Daphnia pulex: one gene and its partner. The protein of the gene in region 2 interacts with the protein of the main gene of each other region in a pairwise test. Links are inferred from orthologs where the notes say so. Each region holds a gene or a part of one and is shown on either strand. Other genes may lie near its edges. The genes, in order: tyrosine aminotransferase-like and ubiquitin-protein ligase E3A-like.

Evidence for each region.
Region 1: the proteins of ubiquitin-protein ligase E3A-like (region 2) and tyrosine aminotransferase-like interact in binary tests that used the Homo sapiens proteins (3 or more experiments, as listed by UniProt). The link is inferred for Daphnia pulex from reciprocal best matches to the Homo sapiens genes UBE3A and TAT.

What each region holds. Positions count from the first base shown.
Region 1 is NC_060028.1:8,535,879-8,551,115, forward strand, and holds tyrosine aminotransferase-like, read right to left. Parts: upstream 9,732-15,237; 5' UTR 9,594-9,731; exon of another isoform or gene 9,585-9,593; intron 8,820-9,584; 5' UTR 8,743-8,819; intron 8,550-8,742; 5' UTR 8,262-8,549; intron 8,192-8,261; 5' UTR 8,077-8,191; coding exon 8,055-8,076; intron 8,037-8,054; exon of another isoform or gene 7,878-8,036; intron 7,808-7,877; coding exon 7,640-7,807; intron 7,124-7,639; coding exon 7,019-7,123; intron 6,710-7,018; coding exon 6,642-6,709; intron 6,569-6,641; coding exon 6,410-6,568; intron 6,352-6,409; coding exon 6,160-6,351; intron 6,101-6,159; coding exon 6,018-6,100; intron 5,940-6,017; coding exon 5,870-5,939; intron 5,815-5,869; coding exon 5,686-5,814; intron 5,615-5,685; coding exon 5,531-5,614; intron 5,467-5,530; coding exon 5,368-5,466; intron 5,312-5,367; coding exon 5,114-5,311; 3' UTR 4,754-5,113; downstream 1-4,753. Other genes in the region: NADH dehydrogenase (ubiquinone) complex I, assembly factor 6-like, read right to left, coding at 51-669, 751-884; ell-associated factor Eaf-like, read left to right, coding at 1,510-2,887, 2,934-3,383, 3,475-3,648, 3,721-3,974; histone H2A-like, read left to right, coding at 10,229-10,250, 10,395-10,602, 10,662-10,857; serine/threonine-protein kinase grp-like, read right to left, coding at 11,084-11,302, 11,365-11,792, 11,854-12,293, 12,418-12,502, 12,564-12,787, 12,842-12,942. UniProt on the Homo sapiens protein: Transaminase involved in tyrosine breakdown. Converts tyrosine to p-hydroxyphenylpyruvate. Can catalyze the reverse reaction, using glutamic acid, with 2-oxoglutarate as cosubstrate (in vitro).
Region 2 is NC_060025.1:1,158,387-1,173,634, reverse strand, and holds ubiquitin-protein ligase E3A-like, read left to right. Parts: upstream 1-11,084; 5' UTR 11,085-11,162; exon of another isoform or gene 11,163-11,235; 5' UTR 11,236-11,461; coding exon 11,462-11,502; intron 11,503-11,563; coding exon 11,564-11,729; intron 11,730-11,788; coding exon 11,789-11,917; intron 11,918-11,964; coding exon 11,965-12,759; intron 12,760-12,830; coding exon 12,831-13,001; intron 13,002-13,065; coding exon 13,066-13,401; intron 13,402-13,479; coding exon 13,480-13,533; intron 13,534-13,595; coding exon 13,596-13,950; intron 13,951-14,018; coding exon 14,019-14,131; intron 14,132-14,196; coding exon 14,197-14,477; intron 14,478-14,538; coding exon 14,539-14,673; intron 14,674-14,741; coding exon 14,742-14,862; 3' UTR 14,863-14,979; downstream 14,980-15,248. Other genes in the region: uncharacterized protein LOC124202141, read right to left, coding at 1-103, 236-395, 6,350-6,391; crustapain-like, read left to right, coding at 8,936-9,040, 9,121-9,264, 9,338-9,574, 9,654-9,736, 9,879-10,002, 10,072-10,229, 10,361-10,574; uncharacterized protein LOC124202138, read right to left, coding at 15,204-15,248. UniProt on the Homo sapiens protein: E3 ubiquitin-protein ligase which accepts ubiquitin from an E2 ubiquitin-conjugating enzyme in the form of a thioester and transfers it to its substrates.

The DNA of each region.
Region 1 (15,237 bases), on a different chromosome or scaffold from region 2:
AAAGACGTTTTTAAATGAAACGAATTTAAACAAATAAAGAATGACTTTACCTTTTGAATATGGGCATTAGCTGTACTAGCTACATCAAAGATCAAGTCTTTCACTTTCTTGTCATCAGAACCTCTTAGAAAATCATTTTGAGAAACTTTGTGTTGAACAAGAAGATCAAGAGGCACATACACTTGTTGCCTTTTTGAATTATATGGGATTGCTCTCAATAGTGTAACGAGTCCTTGAGCTCTCCCAATGTGACTAGCAGCATGATCACTATCAACTTTTCTAATATTGAGAGACTCCAATGTAAGGTACAGGACAGACGAAACAGAATGTTCTGCATAATCCTCTACTTTTGAAAGAGATTGAAAAGCTTTGGAAGACAAGTGATTTTCTCTACTGGAGATCAACCTTTGCAGCCACCTTTTGGAGAGATTATGACGTTGGACAGCTTCGTAAAGCTGCAAAGCAACTAGCTGTGCTGGTGGTGTGTTTTGATACACAGCTTCTAATGTTTCTGACCAGAATTTCATTCTCATTTGGCCAATTGTACCTTGTGAGACTTGATCCTGAACTTGAGCTAACGAAACATTGAAAGCTCTCACAGCGATCGTAGATTGGCGTGAAGCTGGTGGCAAAAGAAGAGCTGCTAGAAAATTTTCATAATCGTGTTTCCTGTAAAAATAAAACACCGGCGTGTGATAAAAGTAGTTTATTAATTTTATTTACTCGACGAACGAGTTTTCAAATGTTTACCTTACTAATTCCTGACAATACAGAAAACTATTTTTTGAAGTCTGAACTTTCGACGAAAGTTTTCTTGCAACGAAGAATATGCTTCGTATTTTGTAAACATTGCGCTCGATTGAAAGGCCACTGAGAACCGCCATTGGTTTATGTCATAATCGCTCCCTCTATGCAATAAAATTTCTCCAGTGCTGTCACAGTTTCAATTCATTATATGAAGAACGATTTTTCAAATGATAAGACCATGTGTACACACCCTGATCCACAAATACTCAAGAGGCCATTCAATATTTAAGAAATATTTATTTATTTGAACAGTTGTTGATTTGCTATCTCTCATTTGCTCTTCCCTGACCCTGCCGTTATATATTTAGGTCACGAAATTGCACGCGACGATTTTCGACCTGAAAAAATTAAATTACGAGTTAGATTAATTCTCATGGAATAAAAATATTTAAAAAATTTACGTTTGGCTTGAATGATATTTAAGTAAAGGGATTTAAAAGGATTAAATGTAATTAGCGATATTAATGCAAATTTCAAAAAGAGATCTGGCAACCGTATTTCTTCCTATACTAGATGTCGGTTTATTGCAGTAAAAAAGGAATTTTGGTCGAGTCGATTCGTTAGCTCATATTCGATGCATTTATATATCTTTGAGCAGTTGAAGTAAAGGGAAACTTTTTTTGAAATTCGTGTTGACGTCGCTTGCGAGTTTTAAATATATTTGAACCCGCGGACGGTCGGGCCCTGCCGACGAGAAGAGAAATGGTGCGCAAGGAGGAGATAGTCGTTTGGTTCTCGCGTCAGCCCAGCCACCAACGGTTGGATGTCCTCTGCACTTTGGCCTCTATCTGTCTACCGCTCGAGCTACGGTTTCTCAACACATGCGTTGATTTCCTGGCCAGGAATAAAACACCATCAGCCAGAGATGCAGAAATCCTTGCAGCATTGGAAAAAAACTGCCTGCAGTTGAATGAAGTTGACTTGCATGATGAGGGATCCCGCAGGAAGCTCATCTTGGCTCTCACTCTGCTCCATGCTGGTAACAGGATTGTAGCCCACACCATTTACAGGATTCTGTGCAGCACCTGCTCTGACTTGAAAATGTTTGGTCCAGACATCACCTTCGAGTCCAGTTTGGAGTTAAATCTGATTTTTACTATGGCACTACATCACCCTAGTTTCACTTTTGAAGAGAAGGTTAAACTGGGAGATATCTACCTATGCATGCAATCTCGCTTACCTGGGCTCAGGCCAACCTCTGACAGTGTCTCTCCTGTCCCTACATCAACTCCTAGCCCGCAGCCTCAAAGCAGCCCCCCAGATATCTCAGAACGATCTCTCAACAATGGATCCAACAGCAGCAGCAGTAGCAGCAGCAGCAGCCACAACAGTACCAATAGCAATAGTAGAATCAAGACTGGTCAGAATGATCGGTCAACGATTCGTCGCAATCGAAACAGCCCCAAGTCAAACGGATCTGCCAATGTGGATTCTGTCACCACCCAGTTGAAGGAGCAATTGGGTAAAGACCGTCTGCCCAAACATTGGAGACAATTTGAGCACCTGAATTCTACCGAGCTTATAAACTGCAGCGACCAGGAATTTCTCAGTTGTGGACTTAGCCCGAATTTCATCAGTCACTTGCGTAAGGTGCTGAATCAGTGCCACCACAAGTCGAACGGCGGTCTAGCAATACCCAACGAAGAGACCAAAGTGGTTCAGCAAGTCAACAACAGCAAATCTACAGCGTCGACAGCAGCAACGCGGCCGAGTTTGGTCAAAACCTGCATGGGCCCACCCAACGTCCAGCCAGCCTTCAACAACAGTCAGCGAATTGCGACAACACCGATCGAGAACCAACCATCACAACATCAGCAACATTATCAGCAGCAGCAGCAACAACAACAACATCAGCATTATCAACAGCAGCAACATCATCACCAACAACAACAGAATCACCAACAGCAGCTGCAGCAAGATTCATTAACTAATCGAGCAGGATCATCATCGAGCAGTGGTAGCAGTAGTTTGGAAACGTGCAGCCCTCCGAGCAGCCCGACAGATTCGAGTAGCACTGCCCCTAGAGATAATCATCGAAAACACTATCCAGTTCCCCAGACTGTGATGGTGCTCAATCCAGGTATTCTGAACATCTCGATTCAAGTCATATCTCACAATCATGTTAGTTTATTGTAAAACAGGAACCAGACCACAGACTCGTCTGCCCAATTCGGGGACGGTGGCCAATGCTTCGCTGCGCGGTGCCAATAACATTGGTTTCCCAAGACCGATGGGCGCGACCAACACTAATGCTGGTGGTCCGATGCGACAGCAGCAGCAGCAACAGCAGCAAATCTCAACGACGGCTAGCAGAGGAGCTTCGCAGCCGAGAGAAATGTCTTTCCCCGTCAGTCTTTCTTATGCTGTGCAACCCGCTCAACAGCAACAGAAGCAGGTCGTCCAACCTTCTTCAACCCAAGTGCAGGGCACGTCTTTCATTGTCGATAGCAGCACGCCCCCGCCTCACTTGGAAGCCCAGGCAGCTGGGGTAGCCCAACAACAAACACAGCAGCCGGCACAGTCTCCTGCTCCAACTCTGTCAGTCTACTCGTACCAATATCTACATTTGCCTAATGGTAAATTACTTGAAAATAGTTGAAATAACGAAGCGAAGAAGAGCTGTGGCTCATTTCTGTCAAAATACTTCATTTTTATATCAACTACTAGGAGACGGAACTCAACCTTTTCCGCAGCATCCGTTCACTTTTATTACTTCGGGACCGCCGCCAAACTCTGCCGGACTTCCCGGCAATACGCGGGCACCAGGTCCACACGACATGATCTATTCGCCCCAATCCTATGTGGGTCAAATCGTCGCTCAACCTCTTGGTTCTCATCACGGTATGCAAAATAAAGTTTCGTCCTCTGTCAAGTCTTTTGTTGATGTAAAAATGTCGTTTTGGACTCTTATAGGATCGAGTGCTGCAAATGGTCGCCCGTCTCTGATGGAAATACCGTACTTACCACCGTTATTCATGGCTCGCTCTGACCAAGGTGGGGCCACGGATTATAGCCGACCACCACCCCCTGGTTCTCAATCCTCTGCTGGCGGTCCTAGCCCAATTCCGGGCAATAACTCTTGTTTTAACTGCGGTGCGTCTGGCCATCGTGGAACTCAGTGCCAACAAATTACTTTTGATGAAATAATTAATCCCTCGCCCGTTTGAGGGCAAGTTTCACATTATCAAACACACATACACAACACATACACAACACATAATCTGGTCATGACAAGTGGGCCAAAATGGTGGTGAACTTCTAAAAGTCGACAGATAGATCCCACCCTTTCAAATGATCCTTTCTGTTTCTTTTCCTTTTTTTTTTACAATTATTATTGATGGATTTATTTAAATTTTTTTTTTCCTTCTGAATATTTGCTGTTCCAGAGAATCTTCAAAGAGAAGGCAACTTGGATGCAGCTTGAGCTTAGGCATTTTTGGATGAAGATTGCTTCGCCCCTAGTTCAAGGATCGTTGCCAAATCGATTCGCTTTTATGAACTTTATTTTCATTTTTTTTTTCTTTTCATTCACAAAGTCATTACTGATGCATTGAAACGTCATCATTCAAAACAAACAAAAAGCTTCTCACGCTGCTCTAGTTTCGTTTCTCTCCCGTGTAATTCCACAACCCACACATGCAGCGAATGTTTGTTTTTTTCTGCTGCATTTAAACAACAATTTGTAAATAACATTATTTAAAAGGAAACAAAAAAATTATATTTAAAAGGATGATTAATAGGGAAAAAGCCCAATTCTCAATCCGACTTCCCCACACACGAAAGCCAGCGTTGTATCGTTTTCAGCTCCTACTACCATCCTCTTACTACCCTATCCCCCTTGCGTGTCATCAAAAAGCAAAAAAAAATTTTATATCTTTTTTTTTCAGAAATGTTCAAGAGTGTTTTTTAGGTCTGTCAAATTTAAATAAAAATAAATACACGGAAGTTTAGTCTTAAAAAATTGTATTGGGTTTTGTTTTCTTATTTTAGGCTTGTAACATTACTTAGTCTGTAACGTTACATAATCGGCAAGAATTTGTATATAATAGTAGCTATTAACTTTTTGTCAAAACCTTAAAAATCTTCCGAAACTTTAAATCGTTGAATATCGCACCTTATAAAATAGAAATACGTTTGCGTCCAGGTGATCCACTGGTGAATGGATGGGAGAGTTGTATGTTGTACCGGGTGAAAGTGGACGGCAAAAATTTCCGTTTCTGCACGAACCGATGCAAAAACGCCTACTAGTAGAAGACTACTGATAAAAATATTCCAAAATCAAATCTGTTTTTTTCTCGTTAAGGTGTCAAGGCTCTATGATTGTGACAATTCCATTGTGCAGCTCGTGGTGAATGTGGTTGTTGGACATTGCTTCTTCTTTTCCCAGGTTGATGGGCGCCACAAAATGGGACGTGCAAAATTGGCCAATACGGTGGCAAGCTTCACGCAGTTGTAGCTCGGGTACCGTTAAGACGATGCGGAAATAGTTGGGGTAATCGAAGCACTGAATAACATAAAATTATCAAATCAAGTTGTAGAAAAAGAATTAAAAGTAATTACTCGTCCGGGAAGACAGAAGACAGATTGTTCCGTAACCATCCGTTCCACGAATTGCAAGTCGTTTTCAAACTCGGGGAAATTGGTCATGTCTACACCAACCTAAAAAATAAAAACCCGATGATAAATAAAAGTCCTTATTTAGACTCGTTTTGATGGTGTTTACCATCATGTACATTGCCCCGGAAGGCATGATTGGTTTCATTCCAGGCAAGCCAGACAGTAGTTGATGTGCCAGTTGGGCGTTATCCTGTTATAGGTCATACGAGAGCATTAGATAACCCAGAATAAAATATTTGGATAAGCAAAGATCATTCTTACGTAAACTTGTGCGATGGTTGACTGGAAAAACTCGGGTGGTGTTTGCGTCAGAATTCGACTAAGGGCACCTTGCAGGACGGTGCTACTGCCGATAATTCTCTGACTAAGGCTCTGCAACCCTTTCCTAACCTGATGACGGCGCAATTTAATTTCATAATTCATTCAAACAGAAATTAAGAAATACCTCTTGTGATAGTGCTTCGTTCCTGTCGTGCACAACAATCCAGCCCATTCTCCAGCCAGGTATAAGATACCTATTCAATACACACAGTAATTGTTAAAAATGTTCAACTTTCAACAAATGGCTGACTAGAAATAGATTGAAATGAAACCTTTTAGTCAATCCTCCGCAAGTGAGAATGGGAACTTCATTCGTTAACGAAGCAACCGGATGAAACTCGTGTCCCGGAAATACCTAAAAAGAAATAAAATAAAATTTAAAGAACGTTACAAAATTTAAACTAATTCAATTACAAAGTAGTCGTAGATTTCATCTGCAATAATGGGAACAAAATTGCGAGCTGCAATTTGAAGAATGGCACTCAAATGTTCACGGCTGTACACGGATCCGCATGGATTAGATGGATTGTTGAGCACGATAGCCGCCGTTTGGTCATCAATTTGTGCTTCCAGTTGCTCCAGGTCGACTTCCCAACCATTTTCCGGCTGTAAAACAAGGAAAGTTAATAATACATTCATGCCTACAGATGATAATGACCCTGACCTTCAAATCGTAAAATTTGGTTCGGATGCCCAATCCTTCCGCCAACGTTCTATACAGTGGAAATCCGGGACGAGGCACAAGAATATTTTGTCCCGGGTTGGCCAATACAGAAATGCACAGATCAAGGGCACAAGAGCAGCCAGAGCATAAAATTATGTCCTAATAGGCAAAAATAGTTTCCATCAAAACGGAGAGCGATACATTTTAAAAATAAAACATTCAAATGTTTTACCTTAGCCTCAACAGCGGCTCCAGGTACGGAGACATAAGACGCCACAACTTTGCGAGATTCTTCATAGCCTGTGGACCATAGATAGAAAGAGAAGGTTGTTATCTAAATGAGATCATGGGGAAAAACAAATGGAAAGACGAGAAAGTTCTGTCAGATGATTGGCTGAACCCTCGTCAGTCCCTTCAAAATGTAACAAGCATCATTTGTTGTTTTGACCTGATGACCCCAATCGATTGCCTGACCCCATACCTTCGACTGTTGCCAATCAAGTCGAAAAGAGAGCAGTTTTCAGAAAATGAATGACTGAATTCAACCTAGCCTAACCTTAACGAAATTAGGAGGCCAATCGAAGCCTCCAAGGCATTGTAACAACTCACCAGTGCTGGGAGCATAGCCGTTGTATTTCATGGAGCGAACACTCTCGACGACGGCCTCGACAATTTCCTCCGACGGGCACAGATTTCCAAATATCGTCGGATCACCTACCAACGCAAAAATTGAAATATGCAGAAAATTGTAAACAACGACGAAACCGGTCTAAAATAGGACAAGAGATCATAGAGTTGAAAATATTTTGCGCAGTTCACAAGTAACACCTGGAGCGAAATTGCATAATTACTCTCACTACAACACCAGTAAACCTAAATTTGAAGATTCCTTACCAGAGGGCAAGCTGACTTGGGCAAGGGCAAATAAAATATACGAAAAAGAAGCAAAATAAACGTATTTTTAACGTAAGTACATAGTCATCAGTGAAAGAAAAGGGGGAGGATCTCACCTTGATCTTCGTTACAAAAATTTTTTGAAAGAAAATTTGCATGGATTTTGGCGTAATGCCACAGCTGTTTGATAAAAAGTGCCGCCAAGCCGGCGGCATCTTTCTTTTAATTCTTAAAAAAAATACAGTTTTACATCCCCAGAAGGCGAATGTTTCAAAAACAACTGCGCAATAGTCAGAAAAATGTGCCAAAAAGAAATTAAAGTCTAATTTTGCTTACCAATAGACAAGGCAATCATAGGTTTCTCGGGATTGGGCGTCAATTTCATCGATTCCACCACAGTCCGGATTGGGTTGAAGGTGTTTCTGGCAAGGTCAGACGCTGTCACAGACCAACTTCGTCGCGATTTCATGGTGACGGATGCAAAACTAAAACACCTGGAGCTAACTGAAAGAAAAAATGACACGTCACTTGAATTAATTTTAAAAATTTTCCAGGTTGTTAATAGATAATCAACCTTAAAACAGAGATTTGAACGCGCACAAAAAGTGGTGCAGACCGACGATCAAGAGCGAGTATACACAAGCGACACGATACCCGATTGCTATATACTACCGAAAAGGTGGTAAACGTTTTTTACGAATGGGGTCTGGCTGAGAATCCAGTCGGAGATTGGTGGAACGGTAGACTTTACCTGCTCTCATTGGTCCATTCATTATGGGCTTGCCCGTGTAGTTCCTTGGGGGCCGTGGTCAGCTTTTTTTCTCTCTCTCCCGCGGGGCCTCTAAAAATATGCCCTAACCTTTTGGTCTATCTCGTTCACCTGTGTATCTAGACAACAAAAAGGCAGAGAATGAAAAATATATAATAGAAAGACCTTCGAATTCCAAAATTTGTATACTACGTTTGATGATTTCCGATTGGAAATGTCTACGATGTTTTAAGTTGCTTTTTTTATCAGAGTTAACTGACAAGTTTGAAAACAAAATAACTGTAACTGTGATTTTTTAATGGTCCGTTCAACTCTGTAATGGTTGATACAACTGCCGAGCAGTTGACTTGGTGGTTCAACAAAAAGAATTGTAGACGCCTGTAGACGGCAAGTCTTTTGGAATAACGTAATAAAAACAGGTTTTCAATTTCGGAAATGCACATCGTGCTTAGATTCCCCAAATCTGCCTTGAAGAAGCTGCAATATATCAAAATGAGCGCAGATAACCACACATTTTCTCTTGGGGCATTAAATGAGATTTAGAACAGGTGCAAAATGCTGAAATATAGTTCGATCTGAATATTATGTTATGCAACATTAGTGAAAGTCAACTCCCGATGAATTAAAGTTACTTTTAAAAATGTCTTGGAAGAATGTTGAACCAATTTACCATGATTGTTGATAAAACAGAGTAGGTAGATCCTCCATCGGGATGCCCTTGACAGAAGAAAATTACAGGTGGCGAATCTATAACCAGAAATGATCATCTTGACTTTATTTTTCATTGAAGGTCAGAACAATAAAAGCTAAAATATTTTAAAATTATATTTCTTAATAATACTGTTATTTAGAAATTCCCTTATGGTTATGTGGACACTGGCCTTCATAACCGTCACGTAAGCGTGGGATGCCACTACAGTAAAGGGGGGAAAGAATCCAAACAAGAAATTCTTTAAAAAAAAAAAAAACTTCCATGTAAGGTTGAATAAATGAGCTCTCGCTCGCTACTGACATCTTTTAGTATTCTGTTGCCAGGGCCTTTTAGTCTTTATAAATGACGTAACTGGTGATTTGTGTCCTACCTGACATTGCACAAGGTTCCGAAAAGTGGATGAGTACGTCTATGCCTCCAGGAAAAACATGATTTTTTTTTGGCTAGAAATGGGCCTTGAACGAAAAAGGGACCGTTTGCGTAGCTTTGGCATTCGCCTTTTCACATCGTTTCCGATTTTAACAAATTGTATCTTTATGCAAATATCGTCCCCCCAACCTTTACGAAATTTAGATTGTGAATAAATGTCTGACTTTGAGAAACCTGTTGATGTTTTTCTCCGACAGATTTGGTAGTAGTACGAGAAAAACAACTACTACAAGTTTTTCTCACATATTCAGCAATTGTTACAAAATGTTTTAACGAAAACAACACATTCGCCATCGTTCTGTTTTTCACTCTGTTACACGTGATCGGTTGTGTGTACTTTGATTACTTTAAAAAAAGGATAGCGATTGAAAGTTTCTTACCTTATTTTATCATATTTTCTGAATCTAATGGACTGGGACAACACAATTCCTAATAACTTTTTTCCTCCAAGCAAATATTTGGGCACTGCAAAAACAATCGACTATTCTTCAAATATAGTTACAAGGTTTTGATATGGCAATTCCAATAAGTAATAAAACATTGTTAATGTTTTCAACACCTCATCGTGCAGTTCTCGTGAAACATTTTTCAAGCATGCCAATAAGTTGCCTACGCTGCTTATTGTATTACAACAACCCCGTGTGGTCCATTTTTCTGCAACATGCTGCCGCCCAAGGCACAACCCGATTGCCATTATTTAATTTGGAAAATTATCAGAACCGAAGTAGCACAAGTCACTTAAAATATTACGTAATTTCTGCAAAATGATTTCTCATACGCATTTAACAATTTTTTTCCTTCTCTAAAAGTTTTCAAAAAATTTACCTTTTTAATTCGTAGTTTTCGCGCCTTGAAATAAAGAAATTGCAGATGGCGTGCCTGTTGTAGAGAGAGTTGATGAAAAAAGAAAACGGTTGGTTTCGACGTCACTTCCTGCAAGGTCTGCCGAAAAGCTAGGGTTGTCTTTGGTTCTTACAATTTGGACTTTTTCGTTTTAAAACTTAATAATCAAACAATGTCTGGCCGTGGAAAGGGAGGTAAGGAAAATCCACGTTTTTTATTTAACCTTTTTTCTTCTTAATTTTTCCCTGAATACCAAGAACTGTTTGTGTGACTGTATGCCGCTTGTTGTAAAGCACAAAGTCCTTGTTCTTTTATTACTTTAATGTTTAACAAAACAGGTAAAGTAAAGGCTAAGGCCAAGTCTCGCTCGAGCCGTGCTGGACTTCAGTTTCCAGTCGGCCGTATCCATCGTATGCTTCGCAAAGGCAATTATGCTGAACGTGTGGGTGCTGGTGCTCCTGTATACCTGGCTGCCGTGATGGAGTACCTGGCTGCTGAAGTCTTGGAGTTGGCAGGAAATGCTGCAAGAGATAACAAAAAGACCAGGTAGAAACCTTATTTCAATTATGCGTCTGAATATCTTGCTGAATCCAAATGTTCTCTAGGATCATTCCAAGACACTTGCAGTTGGCCATCCGAAATGACGAAGAGTTGAACAAACTGCTTTCAGGAGTTACTATTGCTCAAGGTGGTGTGCTGCCCAACATCCAGGCTGTTCTGCTGCCCAAGAAGACCGAAACTGCCCCAGCAGGAGGTTCCAAGGGGGCTGCTAAAGGAAAGGCCAATTCTCAAGAATATTAATGTATCTGAACTTGGTCCTAAATTCATTTTTCATCTCTAAATGTGTTCCAAACCTCCAGGATTTTTTGAATTTCCATTTTAATTGCTTTCAGTCTTAATACTTTTTGATCAAATTCTCCTGTAAGTCCCTTGTCATCCAGAATAAATAAAAGCGACTCTTGTGCTACATATGAATCAGTGTAATGCAACATTATTGGTATTTAAAAACAATATTACAATTGAAAGATTAAGGAATGCTATTTGTAGCAGTGGCAATGGACCAAGTAACTGGTGCAGAACATAATATATCTGCCAACTTATGTTTAATTGCTAGGAAATGTCTTTTAAAATCAAGTCCACAGCCTCTCGACAATCGAAAGTCGAGTAACACCATGGTCTGCATATCGTAAACCGTTGCTTTGAAGACGAGTTGCATTTTCCGTCGATCTTGCGTGGATATGGTTACCTATGAACGCAAAAAGAACGTTAACATACTACAATATTCTTTAAGCATTTTATTTGTTATACCACGCCAGGAGTGTGAATTTTCCAAGTGTAGCCGAGTTTGATTAGCTGTTGGCTCAAATGTTTGATTGCTTCTTCACAGCTAACTTTTGCCACAAGACGAGTCATTCTCTTGACAAGTCTTTGGAGAGGCGAACTGATGCTTGAACCCGAAGCAGTTTGTGTGTTCAGCTGAGAGTTCAGTAGCATATCGTCGATATGAGCAGGTTGAGAGAAGCTAAACATCGCGCCTGGCAGATGCTTGTTAGGGGCTTGATCATCGTTAGTGTCGTTTTGATGGACAGGTTGAGAACCGGAGAAGAATCCAAGTCCAGGCTGAGAGTAGGACAAATGGGTTGCATCGGATGAGGGCGGTGATAAACCAGCATCCACTACGTCAGAGCATAGGCGTTTAGAGACTGGCATGTTTTCCTCTGTCCGTAGAGATGTACCTTCAATTCAGAGAAGTCGGAAGTTAAGAAAGGCATCAAATAGTAAACAAGGATTTCATACTAGGAACTTTGAATTTCTTCTGAAACCATTGATGATTAGTTATTTGCTGAATAGTGTAACGTTTCCCGGGCAACGGCATCAGCACTTTCCGGAGTAATGACAGAGCCAATGTATCAATCTTGGTCCATGGCAATCGCGTGATCTGACATTCCTTCCAGGATGTGTAGAGAGGGCAATCATTAGATGGGACATCCCAAGGCAATTCTCCGGCTAACATGGCAACAAGAACGACGCCACAAGACCAAATATCGGCTGGCTCTGCTGCGTACTTGCGACAGAGAACCTCAGGAGCGATGTAAGGTAACGTCCCACAACGCTTGTCCAGATGCCTTTCTCGACCTTGAAATCGAAAAACTGTTGCCATTCCAAAATCAGATATTTTCAAATTGTCATTGGCATCCAAAAGCAAGTTTTCCGGCTTTATATCCCTGTGAGCAATCCTATAATAAATATAGAAGAAATGTTGTATGTTCGAGATTCGCGAAAGCGTCTTGGTAAAATAATCTTAAGGGGACATTTGTTTAAAAAATGATGAAAAAACTTGAGTTATGTTATGATAATTACCCTCTGCTATGCAAGTAGCTTACACCAGCAATTAACTGCTTGAAATAGCGCTGAGCTTCTACTTGAGGCATTCCCACATCAGGCTCTGAAATTAGAGTAACAGGTTATCATTGCAGACAGTATTATTTTAAAAATTAATATATTACCAATTCTGTCAAATAATTCTCCACCAGATGCATATTCCAAAAAAATGAATTCAAAATTGCCATTTTCCCTTCTCCCATAAAACCTTATCACGTGCACATCATTCAACATCCGGTGCACACAAACTTCTTTTTTGACTGTTTCAGCAGCATTTGCGTGCTTCTTGAGATCAATCACTTTCATTGCAACTGCTTCACCTGTTTTGGCATTAACTAATAGTTTCACCCTAGAACAAATTTGTTAAATTATATATTTTGCATGATTCTTACAATTTTCTTACTCTCCAAAAGCTCCTTCACCCAGTGTCTGAATCATATCCCAGCCTTCTACAAATTCAATTACACTGTTTTTTCCTTCATATTTTTTACTTTGGTCTTCCATGATTGAATAAATATGTATTGTACAACGAGATTAACTGAAAAGATACAAGCTGTTTTAGACACTTTAAAATGGAATACAAAATATCGCAAAAATACCACTTTTTCCGTTTCTTTTTGGTGTAGGGAAGATCTGCTTTACAAAATTACCACTGACACAGTTTCCAGTCTAGTTTAACAAGTTGCACCAATTCATTTTCCTAATAAAATGTTAAAACAGGTGTAAGCATTTTGACTCGCTAGTTTTCGTCAGCTTGTTGTTTGGCTTCTGTTGTTTGCCGCCCAGTTATGGGGTGCGTTCGTAAAAAGGTGTGGCATGTGCGCCACAACCACGTATGAATTTTCTCAGAATTAAAATCGTAAAATATAAATTACACAATATCAATCAAACTTGAACGTCGTAAAAAATATTAGAAAAGGTACGAATACTCTAAAATTATTAGAAAAATGTTATGACAAGAGTTATGATGAAAAAGGTGAACATATTTATGTCATTTTATTTTTCAGTTTCATGTACGGATACATGAATACGTAATAGGATTCTCCGTTAAATTCCCTACGCAATTAATATAAATTTAGGCAACAATACTCCAATTTTAACTAATCCTTGATGTTAGACACTTAAGCTTGGTCTACACCTGGATTTAGGTGGAGTTAGCGAACTTTGGATATTATTCATTTGAATTCAAATTAAAGACGATTGTATTCCAAAGTGTATTAACTCGGGTCCCTTCTTTCATTTCCCATTTTCACATATCATCATTGCCAGAATCTGAATCATCTTCAAGTGCAGATTTTGCGTATCGCTCAACTTCAGCAAACACCTCCTGAGAGACTTTCTGGTGACGTCCTTGGGTGACAGCACCTACCCAGCTCAGCTCCAGTTCAAAATGTTTATCCTTGACTTCATCATGGACAATGTAAATGCTGCATGTACAAAAAAAAAGCCAATTATTAACCTGAATTAAATAGTTAAAAAAAGAGCTAACATCTTGGCAGCTTCTTTGATGAGTTCTAGACAGGTCATATCCTTAAGCTTGAGCTTTTCCATTTCTGTTTTAGCAGCCTGTCTTGCTTTCCCCATAGCACATCCAAGATATCCCTAAAATATGGACAATTTTGATATTTTTTAGATCATAAACAAAAATTGGTGGAAAAAGTGAGCATACAAAGGAAACTCCAGATGGATCCACCATATAAAGCTGAGGGCCATCAATTTCATCATAAGATCCAAGAGCAACAGAACAACCAAATGGCCTCACAGCAGAATACAGAGTGTAAGCATGCTTGTACATGGCAACACGATCTGCCAGATACTAATTTTTAAAAATATTAAGTTTAGCTGAATGATCAAAATTATCCAATGCTAGAATATACTTTGACAGGAATATTGCCTCCATATTCAGCACGGTAATTTGAAGCTTCTGTCCTGGCAGTTTCCACAATTTGCCTGGAATCAGCTAAAAGGCCAGCAACAGCCTAGAAAAAGCATGAGTTTTTAATTGTAGTTTCATAAAACAGCTTAATTTTCAGGACTTGCCATTCCAATATGAGTGTCAATATTGAATATCCTTCTATTCGCTCCAGCTTCATACAGCTTTGATGTCACCAGCTTTTCCACAGCAAATACAACACCATCTTTGCCTCGCAAGGCAACAGCAGTACTATTGTCAAAAATGACTTATTATTACTGATACGAAGACATTAGACGTAGACTTACCCGCTGTTTTCGACGGCTTTCATGGCATATTCGACTTGGAATACTCTGCCATCAGGAGAGAACTGCGAAGCTGACAAATCGTACTGAAATCACAGATGAGAGTAAGCATCAAGATAGAAGGTTTAAGTCAGTAAATTTGAAATATATTACCCCAGTACCAATAGAACTCATCGTGTCTTTGAGAGAATGACTCGTGAAATCGCTAACTCAGGTATGACAAGCGGTTTCAAGCTGTAGCAGACGACATTACGTTAGCGGTTGGCAGCTTTCATTTGTTTCTGATAGGGAACCGGGCAACGTTTGAATTTTTTTATAATCGACTCACAATTTTCGTTTAATGAAACGGTTGAAATCGTTTGCAATGAAAAGGTTAAATAATTAATTGGTAATTTAGGGAGATTAAGAAAAAAATTGTTAAATAACACTTTTTGAATAGCATAGCACATAGCAGTACAGTTCTATGCTCTGTTGGTCTTCAGTTTGAACTGCTAAAAATTTTTAAAATTATAAACTAGTTTCACTGCCGATTACATGCTTATGATATTAAGCGACGATAACATCTGAACTTTTGTTTGCTTA
Region 2 (15,248 bases):
CAGACCGTGCAGTTGGGGCAAACAGCACAAGCAGCACAATCTGGGCACGGCTGAGTCAGAAGATTGGGAAAATAACCGAAAAACGGTCCCAAACCTTGTTGTCCTGTAAAGACGACGATACAATTTAACGTGTTATTTAAATACAAATGAATGTTACATGGGGATCACGGGATCACGTTCATTCGTTCAGTGTACGATGGTGAAATATATTTAAAAAATAGCCTTAACAGCTCACCGATCATGGGATTAATTGGCGAATTCGATTGACGGGGACCAGGTCCAAAACGAGATTCCATCACGGGTTGAACGCGGTAAAAAGGAGTAGGAAACAACAACTGTTTCGGCTCTCTGCCGGTGGAGGTGGCAGTTGCTGAGGCCAGCCAAACAGCTGCAATCTAATTGAACATAAATGATCACAGTTACATTTTTAGTAAGCAATGATTTGGTTGACATGAAATGGATTACAGTTTTTGATACAACAGTAAAAGTTTAAGATTCGTTATTGTCTTTCTCTAATACGTTGTATGATAGCATATGCATAGGTTATAAATAACTAGACAAATGATCAACACACTTACCAGCAGGGGAAAGAAGGTAACCAAGCAGCATTTCGCGGTCATTTTCTCTTCTCAGTGCTATTATCTGGTGCTAAAGAAGATGATAGGCAGGAAGAAGATTCGAATGATGAAATAATGAAAAAAAAAGTTCACTATTTATACCCAAAACTACAAGAAACAAGGCGTGGTCTATTTTTTCCGTCAACTTCTTATTGGCCGGGACTTAATGTTGTTGCATTGAGAAAAAAATGTTTGCCTGTCGTCAAACCAACAACCGATTATAAAAAGATTCGAATTAATGGCGATTAATGGGCTAAAAATATAACGCTCGTCAGCATAGCCTTGCATGTTGGAAACGATGTTCAAAACAATAATTCACCTTGATCTTCAATTCAATTAGCGCATCGAATTTCTCAGTGCTATAACTGGTGACAACGAAGTTGATAAGCAGGAAGCAGATTTTCGAATGATGCAATAATGTTGAAGAGTGGTCTATTTATACTAAAAATCTATTTCTATTTTCCGTCAACTTCTTGTTCGGGCATAACATTATTTCATTGAGGAAGCCATGTTTCCTGTCGTCAAGGAGCGATCGAGGACATACATTAAGTGAATAATGCTCAGCTATGCAAGCCGTGAATAGATACCGTGATTTTAAATTCAATTGGCGCATAAGGCTATTTGTGCAAGATTTGAAATGGCTGGCATTACGAAATATCTGATCCACCGCCGTGCAGTGCCGGCGGTTATTTTAATGGCTAATCCACTTTCCTCCTGATGTGGAACTTTTGAATATTACTTTTATACTGAATTATTCTTAAAATAAATGCATTCAGATTTTCATTACTTTCTCAACATTTCTTACCTTCTCCAATCGTTCTCTGTAACCTTGCTATCTGAGATGTTTTGGTAATGTTCTCGTCTGAAGGCCCATTTGGGGTTGGCTCCATGTTTTGAAGACCGGTTTTCTGTCTCCCGCGGTCACGAACTCCTCACGATGAACGCTTCTGGTCAGCCCTGCATGCCTTTTCTGCCGTAACCTTCGTTCACAGACAAGTTTAATTTTAGAATACCTGTTTTTAATAACTGGGGATCAGTGTTCTTTTAATTTAAGCGTTCCTACGGATCGAATGACCGGTAACAAAATATTTTAGTTAACTCAACAGACGACTTGGGCGACAAAAATTGTTAATACAATTAATAATATGCAAGGACGAATTTATAAATACCTGATTGCCACTTTGCCGTGCATGTTGGCGCTAGGATTGATATAATTACACGGCAAAGTGTGACGTTCATTCCGAATAACAGGTTAGAGCTGCTGTCAAAAGAATCCTGTATTAGATTGAGCGCATTCCTGTAAAAGTCGTGAGTGTTAGTGTTTAGTTCTAAAGGTGATAGCCAAATTATTCCAACTCGTTCCCACTGTCGCTATGCCATCTTATGTGAAATGTTGTCAAGGGCAAAGAATCAGAATAAATTACTCGGCTAAATACTTGTCTCGTCTCTGGCCGTATTTGGACTAATTAAAGAATGAGAATTGAGCAGTTTCCTCATCAACGGAAACTTATCTTTTAGTTGGGTTAACATAGTTGAATACTTTCCTACGTATAGCCAATCATGGCATATCAATTATCAGAGGCAACAATGACGGCTGTTGAGCAACAAGTTTGAAACGGCGTCCTTGATGAGCTCACAATAACATTGCTGCCTTCCGTAGTTTGGAAAGTTTTCAACCAACTTGACCATAGATATTAAAGGCGAGTCTTGATTAGGCGCTTCTCAATATAGAAACCTACGCTCAGTCAACGACCCCTGAACAAATAATATAGTAGCCTATCCCCTATCACAAATATTTAAATAACAAATGTAAAGTTCGTCGCAAAATAAACGCAGAGTTAAAATAGCTATAAAATATTATCACATATTTTCTATTGATTTTGATCAATAGTAAATTAAACTTGTGCATCAGGATGAGTCACTGACCTAGAGCGAATTCATAACAAACTTGGACAACAAAGAATCTAGAATTGGGGATAGAAAATTACTTTTAATACAACATCGCAATAATATAACAATTCGCAAGATCGTAACTTAACGTTTAACTGGCTATCAGTACATCTGGTGATGATCGGCGACTCCTACCAATTATTCCACGAAGAACATATTCATTTACCGGGGATATCCCTTTGAGAAAGGCGTGTCTATGTACAAGGACAAGTCATTACATCTTTTAATGTATGCGCTGGCGATACAGGTTTTTTGTACGCTCGACAGAATGGAAAGCGCCTATAGCTCAAGGTTCTAAGCACTGACCTCAACATCCAAAATAGAACTCTGCATTTCCATTTCTAGAAGAAGAGCAATGTGCTGGGTAGTAAGTTAATAAATAAAATAAACAGGGGATCTAAGATTTTAAGGCCCTCCAAATATTTCCTTTGTTTTTAACGACGGGGAACAAAAAAGAAAAATAAATAAAATGCACCTTTTTTACCTTTGGATGTTTGGCTGGATGGCGGAGCATGTTGCTCAATCGCGTCTGATCTCCTTCGCCGGAAGTAAGAAGAGCAAGAGCAAAGATGGCCATTTCAGCTCCACCTGCATTCACAGCCAGTCGGGACGAAACGTAAAAGACCCAGGGAATACCAGCTGGCGGTGGCATTTGGTTCTCCGTCACCCACCTAGTACCTAGTTCTTCGAATTCCCGAAAATGTTTGGATGATTTAATGCACCCCATACTCGTCTGTCAACTGTATCGTGGGAGTAAAAAGGTTTCTTTACCTCATATGGTATAATTCGTGATGAAGGGGCTTTTGAATTTCATTTTTGTTAAACCTGCAGCGACAGTTCATTTGATGGGGGCTTCATTAGTGTCAGATATTAGATTCCTTCACTGCAAGTAATTCATCACCAGAGCCAATTGTTTTCCCCAAATGTCCGTTTTATCGGCAAAGATGCGTTTTACAGCATTCTCGCCGATGTCGGTCGTGACCTGCAGATTCTAGAGTCTGAAAAGAGAATTATTTTAACTTTAACACTTAGTCACAAGTTGCTAATGTCTTACTTGGTCTTGCTCAATAATCTTGCTTTTCACGTAGTAGTAAGAGACTGGCTGTAGAACATGATGAATGAAGAGATCAAATGTTATCAATCTTAACTTTCTTCGCTGGTGAACCTGGAAAAGTAATCCAGGACAATCCCAATGTAGACTATAGGTTGGAATTCTTCTTACTTTGTTAAGTACTTTTTTTGTCATCGGATTCTTCCAGAGCAGAGGTGACTTATATTCTACAGTCACACTGTACTTGAAAAGCCTTGCCGTTGTGACATGCTGTGGAGATTATTAGTGATTTTGACCCAGACACAGCACACAATCTTCTTGTAGCACTGAATTTTTGGGGTAATAAGGGAGACGTAAAATCTAATGCACATGGGCTGTTTTGTTTCCAACATTTTCCTCAATTTGACTGCTTTGTCTCATCCACGTTTACATGGGGTTACGGAAAACCCATGGGTAAGACATGTTAGGCAATCGAGAAACAAAAGGAAACATTGGCGTGAACGGACTCATTAGCCAAATGTTCACTATGTATAATCAAACAATTCAATAATGATGAAAAATTTGCAGCAATATGGTCATGGTTTATAATTACGACAGCCTCAACTGTGCTGTGGAGTGCCTGAAAACTTTGGCACATTAGAATGCAGACGAACTTCCGTGTACGGAAAGCGAGATTGACTACTTGGATTATTTTTTTTCGGCGCGAGTTATGAACGTCATAGGCGAAACACGATATTGGATTTTAAAAATGAAACAAAAATCACAGCTCTTCTCACAGGTGCCTTGCTCTTACTAACGCAGGTAGCTTCAAATCTAAATTTTAATGAATTTGACTTTTCGGACCAACTTCTTTTCTATGGGTGTTCTATAGTCATACAGTTTGAATCGGCTAAATTTCGTGCAATTATATTAATAGAATAATATTTATGTTGTATAGAGAGCGAGATGTGTGAAGGTTAACAATGTGGACGAACATTTATACAAATTCTGCGACTTTTTGAAAGTTTTTTTGAGCTTGGGCAGCTATATAGCTGCTAAGAAAAGACTATTTATGCATCCATCTACATACATTGGTGATGGTATTCAGTTGTGTTTTACAGTGCGTCGTTTCATACTAAATTGCTGCTGGTGACGGTAAATTATGGGGAAAGAAAGTTTGGTCTCGTTTAGTGATCCTATTTACAGTCGATTGATAGTGCCAGTTCTTTATCCCATATCACTATCCCACTCGGAGGTCAAAAGCTACTTTTTAAAAATTTCATAGATAAATTGTTTGTAGTATACATCAAGTTGACGAAGCAAGGCTAATACATAATTAGATTGCCGATTTATAAGAGAAAATGATCGTGAACACAAATGTATCCTGCTGCTATAAATTATATTATTGTCCAATCCAGTATTGAGCGTTAAAGGGGTTATTTCATGGTTACATTATAAAAGAAAATTCAAAGTACGCAACGATAATGATACACGAATTATTGCAGTGTCCATAAATCAAAGTTACGTAAACGTGACATGTAATGAAGATACAGTGCCAGAGAGCTTTCAGACAATCTTCGGGTTTTTATGCCTGTGGTACGTTTTCCCAAACGCATTCGGCTGTGAGATCTTTGTCGGTGCCCAAATTGTTATTGAAATTGAACACCAGAAAGTTCCCCTTTGAAGTGTAAGGTGTGTTGGCCGCACCCACTGTAACTGGCGTAACAAGGGGAATCACCTGCAAAATAAAAAGGCAATTTTTTTTTGCATGAAATAGTTAACATTGTTGTGTTTTTTTTTAAATAACTAGATGTCATACGGAGAGCGTGGTGCTTTCCCCCAACGAGGTGCATGTAAGCTGGACATTGGTTTTGGGGTAATAAGCGACCAAAGCGTACGCGCAAACGATGCTGCTTTTTGTTGCTGTTACGCTAACGGAGATGGTTCCGTTGGGAGATGCTGACGCCACTGAGTCTGGTCCTTCGCCGCAAGCTGAATATTAATAAAACGTTGTAATAATATAAAAGGAAACCGAAAATCAGCATATAGAAAATAATATTTAGATGAACAAATTTTCAAAGTAAAAAAACATACGTAAAAAACAGATTGTAGGTATGCTATATCATCAATTAAGAACTTACTAGTAATAGCTCCGGCTGGAGGAGGTGGAATTACTTCTGGACAGACCGTGCAGTTGGGGCATACATCACAAGCAGCACAAGCCGGGCACGGCTGAGTCAGAAGATTCGGGAAATAACCGAAAAACGGTCCCAAACCTTGTTGTCCTGTAAAGACGACGATACAGTTTAACGTGTTATTTAAATACAAATGAATGTTACATGGGGATCACGGGATCACGTTCATTCGTTCAGTGTACGATGGTGAAATTTATTTAAAAAATAGCCTTAACAGCTCACCGATCATGGGATTAATTGGCGAATTCGACTGACGGGGACCAGGTCCAAAACGAGATTCCATCACGGGTTGAACGCGGTAAAAAGGAGTAGGAAACAACAACTGTTTCGGCTCTCTGCCGGTGGAGGTTGCAGTTGCCAGCCAAACAGCTGCGATCTAATTCAATATATAAATTAACAGTTGCATTAGTATTTACATGGTTAACAGTTAAAAATGGTATAACAGTAAAAGTTTAAGATTCGTTATTGTCATCTATAATACGTTGTATAATTGCATATGTATAGATAAATAATAGTTAAATAAATAGGCAATATAGTTAAATGATCATCAAACTTACCAGCAGGGGAAAGATGGTAACCAAGCAGCATTTCGCGGTCATTTTCTCTTCTCAGTGCTATTATCTGGTGCTAATAAAGAAGATGATAAGCAGGAAGAAGATTCGAATGATGAAATAATGAAAAAAAAGTTCACTATTTATACCCAAAACTACAAGAAACAAGGCGTGGTCTATTTTTTCCGTCAACTTCTTATTGGCCGGGACTTAATGTTGTTGCATTGAGAAAGAAATGTTTGCCTGTCGTCAAGCAACAACCGATTATAAAAAGATTCGAATTAATGGCGATTAATGGGCTAAAAATATAACGGTCGTCAGCATAGCCTTGCATGATGGAAACGATGTTCGAAACAATAATTCACCTTGATCTTCAATTCAATTAGCGCATGTTTGTGCCAAGATTTGAATCTATGGAATTACGAAATATGTGATCCATCTTATAGGCCTACGCACAGCAGTGCCAAATTGCTAATTCATTCTTGTCATGTGGAACTTTTATCCGTTTCAAATTTTACTTTAATTTAATTATTCTTAAAATATTAGCGAATATTAGTTATTCAAATTTTACCTCTAACCTTGCTATCTGAGATGTTTTGGTGATGTTCTAGTCTCAAGGGCGTTTGAGTTGGCTCCATGTTTCGAAGACCGGTTTTCTGTCTTCCGCGGTCACGAACTCACGATGAATGCTAACGACCAGCCCTGGACAACACACATTTAATTATAATTTAGAATATATACAGAAGGACGAAGAGAATATCTGATAGCCAATTTGCCGTGCACATTGGCGACGTAATTACACAGCAGCGGGCGATCATTGCGAATAACAGATTAGACGTTACCAATATCTCGTGTTAGTTTTATAAGTATAGCGCGTTCCTATAAAGTCAGGAGGAGTTCTAAAGCAGATATAGCTATACATATTATTCCCAGTGATTCCCACAGCTGATAAAGACGGTTGCTATGTGATCTTGTGCAAATTAGTTGTCAAGGGCAAAGAAAAAACAGGTCCATCGGAATAAATACTCGAATAAATGAAATGTTCACACTACATCTGAAAGGACCTTATTTGGACTAATTAAAGAATGAAATAGGCATTGAGCAGTTTCCTTCCAACGGGGACTTATTTTCAAGTTGGGTTAGCATAGTTGAATATTTATACTTTCCTCCGTAGAGCTTACATAACCAGTCATATAGCACTAATCACTTATATCAATTAACAGAGCAATGGCGGAAATTGTTCAAGTTATTTATAATAAACGAGTTTAGAAAGTTTTCGACCAACTTGATCATGGTATTAACCGTGAATCTTTATTTGGAATTTCTCAATAAACAAACCTACGCTCAGTCGCTCAGCATTCAACGACCCCGGAACCGAGCCCAGAACAAATAATATAGGAGCCTATCGGAGCCTATATAGCCTATACATCACAAACATTACATTAAGGAATTTTGAGTTCTTCATAAAGCATTAATAAACGCGGTGTTGAAATAAAATCACTAGTCTAGATTTCACAGTAGAAAGCTTTATTAATTCACTTTTTGTTAGTTGAATCGAGTTGAATCGAGTATAGTAGTATTATTGGCATACTACATATTTGTTTCTGCCCACTTGTGACAACTGTTAAAATATCTGTATCAATATAGGCATTCACTGTAATCAGGTGTTGTTTTCAGAAACGTGTTATCGGTATATATTCGAGGCATGGAGACTCTGGCTACCTTTTCCACTGGCTATACCGATTCGAGTCCAAAACGAGTGCTGCTATCCTATTTCGTAATGACAATAACGTTACACTAAAATTACATACACAATAATCGCACGTTACCATTTAAAATTTAAAATATTGAATCACGCTTAGGCCTATCTGACTGACTTCAATTGTCATTTTTTTTTTGTATTCTGTGACCCGGAGCATGATATCTTCACTGCAACAACCTGGTGAACCGATTTTGGGAGATGGATTGTGTGCAGCTATATTTGTGTAGTAGTTAATGGGGTTAATGCTGGGTAAGCGTCATTAATTGACATATGTCTGTCAACTCGGCTTTCTGCCCATGTGTGCCAACTGAGTGTGTGTGCCAGTTAGAATATCCGAGAACATCAGTGAAATAGGATTCAGTGTCGATAGTCGTTTATTTACTTTATAGATAGATTGCTATTGATTTATTGTAGTCATATATACTGGCTGAACGCTTTCGTGGCTATAGTAAATATTGGCATGTTTTTATGAGACTAAATGAGTTAGCTGTTGTTCACCAAAGCAGAATGCGTACGTGCTCTAGATTCTGTAGCATATGGCTGTGCGCAATAGACTGATGCTGAGTAAATTAACAACTGCTTTCCACCATTTAAGTCAACGCGATATCAGTATATAAACTGATCGATTCCAGTTACAAAAGGTACTTCGTACTTCGTCGTTCAATCGAGTCATCATCTCTACTTTTCACTGAAGCTTCAAAGGTAAGTTGGACTAAAACCAGCACACAATTGGTTTTTATACTAAACATTTTAGTTAATAGATGAAATAATTGTTTTCACTGTTGTCTATTTCTGAATTGCACACTTTTTTACTCCTTTACATGATAAGAATGGCGAAAATGGGCTATGTTGCATTGGCTTTAGTTGCAATTTTCTGTATTGTTCACGTCCAGGGACTTTCTGATGATGTAGAAGCTGCATGGGAACAATATCAGGTATAAAAACCGAGATAAAAACATAATGGCCATGATTTGGGACTGTATTATTGCATGGCAAATTGTTTCTTAATTTAAAGGCTCATCATCCGAGTAACACCAAATCCCACACTGACGCTGCAAAGCGCAAAGGAAACTTTGTTAAGACACACGAAATGATCCAGAAGCACAATAAGAACAAGAATGCCGCATACCAACTAGAACACAATGATTTCTCTGTCATGGTTTGTTATTGTTACATATTTTTAATTAAAAAAAAATGGGAAATTATTAGTTCATCAATCTTTTAAAAAATAGGATGAAGCAGAGAAAAAACTTTACACTGGGGCAGTTGCTCCATCAGGTTCGAGATTTCTGATTGCCGATCAGCAGTTGGATGATTCTATGCGCCAGATACCAACTTCCGTAATTATTTCTTTTTTCCAAATCCGTTTTATATCTATAATCATATATATTGAATCAAAATGTATTACATCATTTCAGTTGGACTATAGAACTAACACCTGTTTGGCGCCAGTTAAAAATCAAGGATCGGTAATTTCTACAATCGATAACCATCATTATTAACAAAACTGGTTTCGTAACTATTCACTTCTTTTTAAAATATTTACAGTGCGGAAGCTGTTGGGCTTTCACTGCCATAGCGCCGCTTGAGTTCGCTCAATGCAAAAAGAGTGGTGCAAAAGTTATTTTGAGGTAATTATCATTTGGAGCAATATATTTGAGTCATTTTTCGTGTCAGTGTGGTGTGCGAAGAAAGGTTCGTTTCGATACAGGAATCTTTATAATCGCTGAAAAATGACATTTTGCTCAAATAGTTAACTATTTTCACTATTAGCGAACAACAACTGGTCGACTGCGACCCTAACAATGGTGGTTGTAACGGCGGATGGTATACAACCGCTTGGGAATATCTAAAGAGTGGATCAGCGAGACAGTCGGCCTATTCTTACACTGCTGTTGTAAGTAATTGATTTGTTTGTTTTTTTTTTAATTGAAAAAATCTTCCTATACCTTTTTATTATCTACAGAAAGGAACTTGCAAGTTTTCCACGTCCACGATTGGTTCGAAAGTCGCTACGTACGGTAGCGTTACATCCAAATCACCATCCTCAATGCAAGCGGCTCTCGTGAGATACGGTCCCCTTTCAGTGGCTATCACCGTCATCAACTCCTTTTACTCTTATAAGTAACTATATTTCCAAAAAAAGAAACACTTTTTTTGTTAAATATTTATTTAGCCTATTAATTATCTGTGATGTCGGATGAGAATTTGTTATTCATCTAAATTCTGTTTCTCCAATTCAATTTGTAAAATAGGAGCGGCGTTTACACTGATGCGGCGTGCGACAATAAGGGCGTGAATCACGGTGTGGTTGTCGTAGGATGGGGTAATCTTTCTGGAGTTGATTACTGGATTGTTCGTAACTCATGGGGATCCGGATGGGGAAGCTCGGGCTACATTTTAATGCAGCGGGGTGTTAACAAATGCAGTATCGAAACTTACCCAGCCGCTGTTGCATCCGTCGTCTGAAAACATTAAAAGGTCATCTTTTCTACGTAAACAACCATTGAAGAAACAAGTTCTTTTGGAGATTTTTCTTATTTATGTTTCACTGTCTGCAAATCTGTGTGGGTCACAGACTCACAGCCTTTTAGATGATGAGCGTGTTAATTTTATATAACTACTAGGTAAACTTGGGATACAATACACATAAATCAGCATAGATAAATCGAAATTCTGGCCTATTCTTTTCGCTTCTCCATAAAGAAATGTCTGAAATATGATCCTTCTCGAAAAAACCCCGTTTGAAATTCATTTTGTTTCACCTCAACGACAGGTATCGAAATTCGAGTTGTCTGCGGCGGTCTTAATTAATTCCAAAATATCACACGAACTACTAGTAATTTTAATCCGGATCTTTGAGCGTTAGAATTGTCTTTAGGTTCTGAAGTCTAAACAAGATAGACCTCATGAATTTTTGTTAAACATAGGAACCCCCCAAAAAATTAATTAAATAAAAATTAGTTGCACAAGGTTTTAGTTTTACTATCCGATCATAGAGGGCTTTTGTCGAGCAGCACATTCAGTGCGCGAAGTGTTGTCAAAGAATTTCTCTGCGTAAACGAAATAGCTAATTTTTTTTGCCATATTTGCCCGAATAACGAGAATTCGTTTTCAATATTAATTGCAGGTTTTGAGCTATTTACGTTCCACTGGTCAACGTAATTTCAATCAAAACGCGTTTTCCCAAATCAGGAATCGTACAAAGTTGTAAGCAGATAATGGCTCGAATTCCATTATGCTAGTCATCTGTGTCCCTTTTTCTTTCGGTCGCTTGAAGTTTATCAACTACTCACGGCCTTCCGATTGATTTCATTGACGTAAATTATAATCATTAAGCCAAAAGTAATTGCAACATGGCTGAAAATGGTAAAAATGATGGTGGCAATATCTTGAGGTATTTGGCAATTTTAATATTTAGATGTAACCAATACTAATGTTTGTTTTTGACATGGTAGTGCTGGGGACAGTCAAACACTGGACAAGCGTGTTGCAGCTCGTCAGTTAATCAAACGTTATTATTTCCAGCTGACTGAAGGATGTGGTGACCAAAACTGTAACAATGAACATTGTGCCTCTAGTAAAAAAGTTCAAAATCTTTCTCCAAACCAAGCTGCTGCTCAGGTATCAACATAAAAAATAATTTTAGAAGAAGCCAGTCATTGATTGATTATATTGCATAGGCTCTGGATTTATTTGCCCGCAAAGGAAGGCTTTGTGTTGGCACTGGCAAGAATGAACTACCGAGCACATTGTTTCCTGAAATTACACCTGCTAGTACTAGTGCCATCTCTGATCAGCAATTGCTCAAAGTATTTAACCAATTGTTTCATTTCAGTAGTCTCATTAATCAGGCTAGATTTCCAATTTGAAGCAGGGATTGTGGGTTCCTCCAGCTCTGAGTGTGTCTGGCCATCCTGCAAATGACAAATCAGGCATTTCCAAACCAACCAAGTTGACAGAAACAAATTTTAAGCAGATCGTTGACAATTGCAAAGAATATGGAATCTATTCAAAGCTAGTTCACACATTGGGACATGTCTTTGCCAATCCTGAGCTGTTGGGGAAGAGTTTTATTACGCAAGGAAACAACTCATGTACATCTACATTAGGACATGGCCAGCTAAGTAAAGAACAACTTCGCTCGATGGAGGTGGATTTGGATAAAGATAAAGACAGCCAAGAAGCCGTCGCAGAACCTCGTCTCCAGGACGTTGGCCAAGAAGTCAGCGTTGATATCTGTTGCGTCCGCCGATCATTCGAAGTCTTGAGCTCCATCGAGCCACAAAACTACGAAAGCGCCTTAGTTCACGCCCTCATTCTTCTATGCGAAACTATTGAACTGGATATGAAATTCGGGAGGCAAAAAGCTGAAGTCAATTTGCTCAACGTCTTCGTCATTGTTTTCGAACTACCGTGGCTTGGCACTGGTGACTACTTTGAAAGTGTTTTGCCGACCTTATGCCGCGCCTGCGCTCTTTTACCTCTAACCCAACAAGCCACTCTAGTCCGATTTTGGGCGGCTCACAGTGTCCCCAATCTAAGAAATCTGGTCCAAACACTTCAACAGCTCATTAGTTTTAGAGTGTTATCAGGAGATTTTGGGCGAGACTATGCCATCAATGATGACAATACTATTACTGCTTGTGTCAAGGTATAGTGGTTTAAATATTGTTTTGCAATGCTTACCCCTCTTATTCGTTGATTTTCCAATTTGTCTAACAGGTGATGCGAATACTGTACTGCGTCAACATATTTTCTTGTACCACACCTAGCAGTAAGTTGACTGGTGCATCAGTTGACGCGATGGAAACAGACGATCCTTCTAAAGATTCCTTCGATGTCTTTTCGTTTGGAATCGATCCTTCCCCTAGGTTGGGTTCCAAGCAAAACAAGGTAAGCTTTGACTGACATTTCGAAACAAAATTTGTTTTGATCCATTTTTTACTTTGCTAAATAGACAAGAAAGAATGATCCACTTATGTCGGAACTTGGAGTCAACGTTCTTGACTGTCGACAACCTCCGGTCGCTTTTGCTGACTTCTACAACGAACCGCTAAGTGATGTTGTTGAGATGGATCGTGATTTTGCCTACTTTGCCGCTGCCTCCGAAGCCCCTCCTTCGGCTTCCAACAATGCATTGAAGATTAGTTTCATGAACTTCCCATTCATTCTTACACCGGCCGCCAAAGCCCTCGGTCTCTATTATGATAACCGTATCAGAATGTATAGCGAACGTCGTCAAAGTATTTTCAACAGCGTCATGAACGGACAACCAAGTAATCCATATCTAAAGGTATTTATCCAATAGAGGTTTTCTATTTCTTAAAAAGATTCTAACTAAACTTACTTTTTTCTATCCCTATTTCACTAGTTGAAAATTCGACGTGATCATGTCATCGACGATGCCCTTATTGGTTTGGAAATGGTAAGTTTCAATCAGGGATCTAATTAGGAAACGTCCTTATTGACTAATTACTTACTTAACAGGTAGCCATGGAGAATCCTTCGGATCTCAAGAAGCAATTGGTGGTGGAATTTGAAGGCGAGCAAGGCATTGATGAAGGTGGTCTGTCGAAAGAGTTTTTTCAGTTAGTCATCGACCAAGTTTTCAATCCCGACTACGCCATGTTTGCCTTCAACTCCGACACTCGCAATTTCTGGTTCAACCCTACGTCGTTTGAAAGTGACGCCCAATTTACGTTGATTGGCATCATGCTCGGATTGGCTATTTACAACACGATCATTCTAGACATTCACTTTCCTATGGTTGTCTATCGTAAGCTTCTTGGTCGTAAAGGGACATTCGAAGACCTTCAAGAACTCGATCCAACTCTTTGGAAAGGTAAGTCTAATTTTCCTCTAAACAAGTCTAAGTTTATATTTAAAAGTTTTGTATTTTTGCGTGAAAAGGTCTGACAGAACTTCTGGAATACCCGGATTCTGACATTGAAGAAACACTTATGCAAACGTTTAGCATATCTTACAAAGATGTGTTTGGAGTCGTTTACAATCATGACTTGAAGGTATTTCAATTTTATTTGGCTTGTGAAAAATTTATTTGCTAAAGTCTATTTTTATTGGAAATTAGGAAAATGGCGCAAGTTGCAATGTGAACCTTGAAAACCGACGTGAGTTTGTCGAACTCTACGCAGACTATCTGCTCAACGAGTGTGTCGGTAGGCAGTTTGCAGCCTTTCGTCGCGGTTTTGCTATGGTAACGGAAGAAAGTCCTTTGGGTACGCTCTTCCGGCCGGAAGAAGTCGAACAATTGGTTTGCGGTAGTCATATTTTCGATTTTGAAGAACTCCAAAACGCCACAGAATACGATGGCGGATTTACTGCTCAATCTGAAACCATCAAACATTTTTGGTAACCACGTCAGCAGTGTCCCTTATGTACATTCTTATTGATGTCCTAATTTTGATTACAGGTCAGTCGTCCACGAGCTAAGTGTCGAGGATAAACGACGTTTGCTTCAATTTACTACCGGTTCTGACCGCGTACCTGTCGGAGGATTAGGTCGATTGAAACTAATAATCGCTCGCAATGGAGCCGATTCAGATAGGTAATACAAGATAGATGAATAATTAATTTAATTAATTAAAATGTATGCTATCCGCAAATTTTTACTAGGCTTCCGATGGCTCACACGTGCTATAACGTGCTTCTACTTCCCGAGTACGATAACAAGGAGAAACTAAAGGAGCGTCTGATGAAAGCAATTGATTACTCGAAAGGTTTCGGTATGCTTTAACATAATGAAATCATCTCGTGTGTCGTATTCTGGTTAGCGGTTCATAGGAGCAACAAAAAGGTGTCACTAAAAAGAAATCGTGCTAAATTATTACACTGTTCTTTGTCTTCTTCTTTATCTTGTCTCTAGTTTCGGGATCTTTCTCTGCCGGTGTCCTTTCTCGCCCCGTTTATTTTGTATATACGAAATCCCCCCCCCCCTCTCTTTTGCCGAATAGAAAAGGGTTGGCCAAAAGCCGAAATCATTCCATGGCGACACATTGTTGGAATAATGAAATCTTTTTGAGCGTTCAGGTAAATAGTTTATTATTAAAGAAAAATTTACGCGTATATTTTTACGAATTATCGAAACAAAACAATGGCTGCCATCAATGCAAACATAAAAAA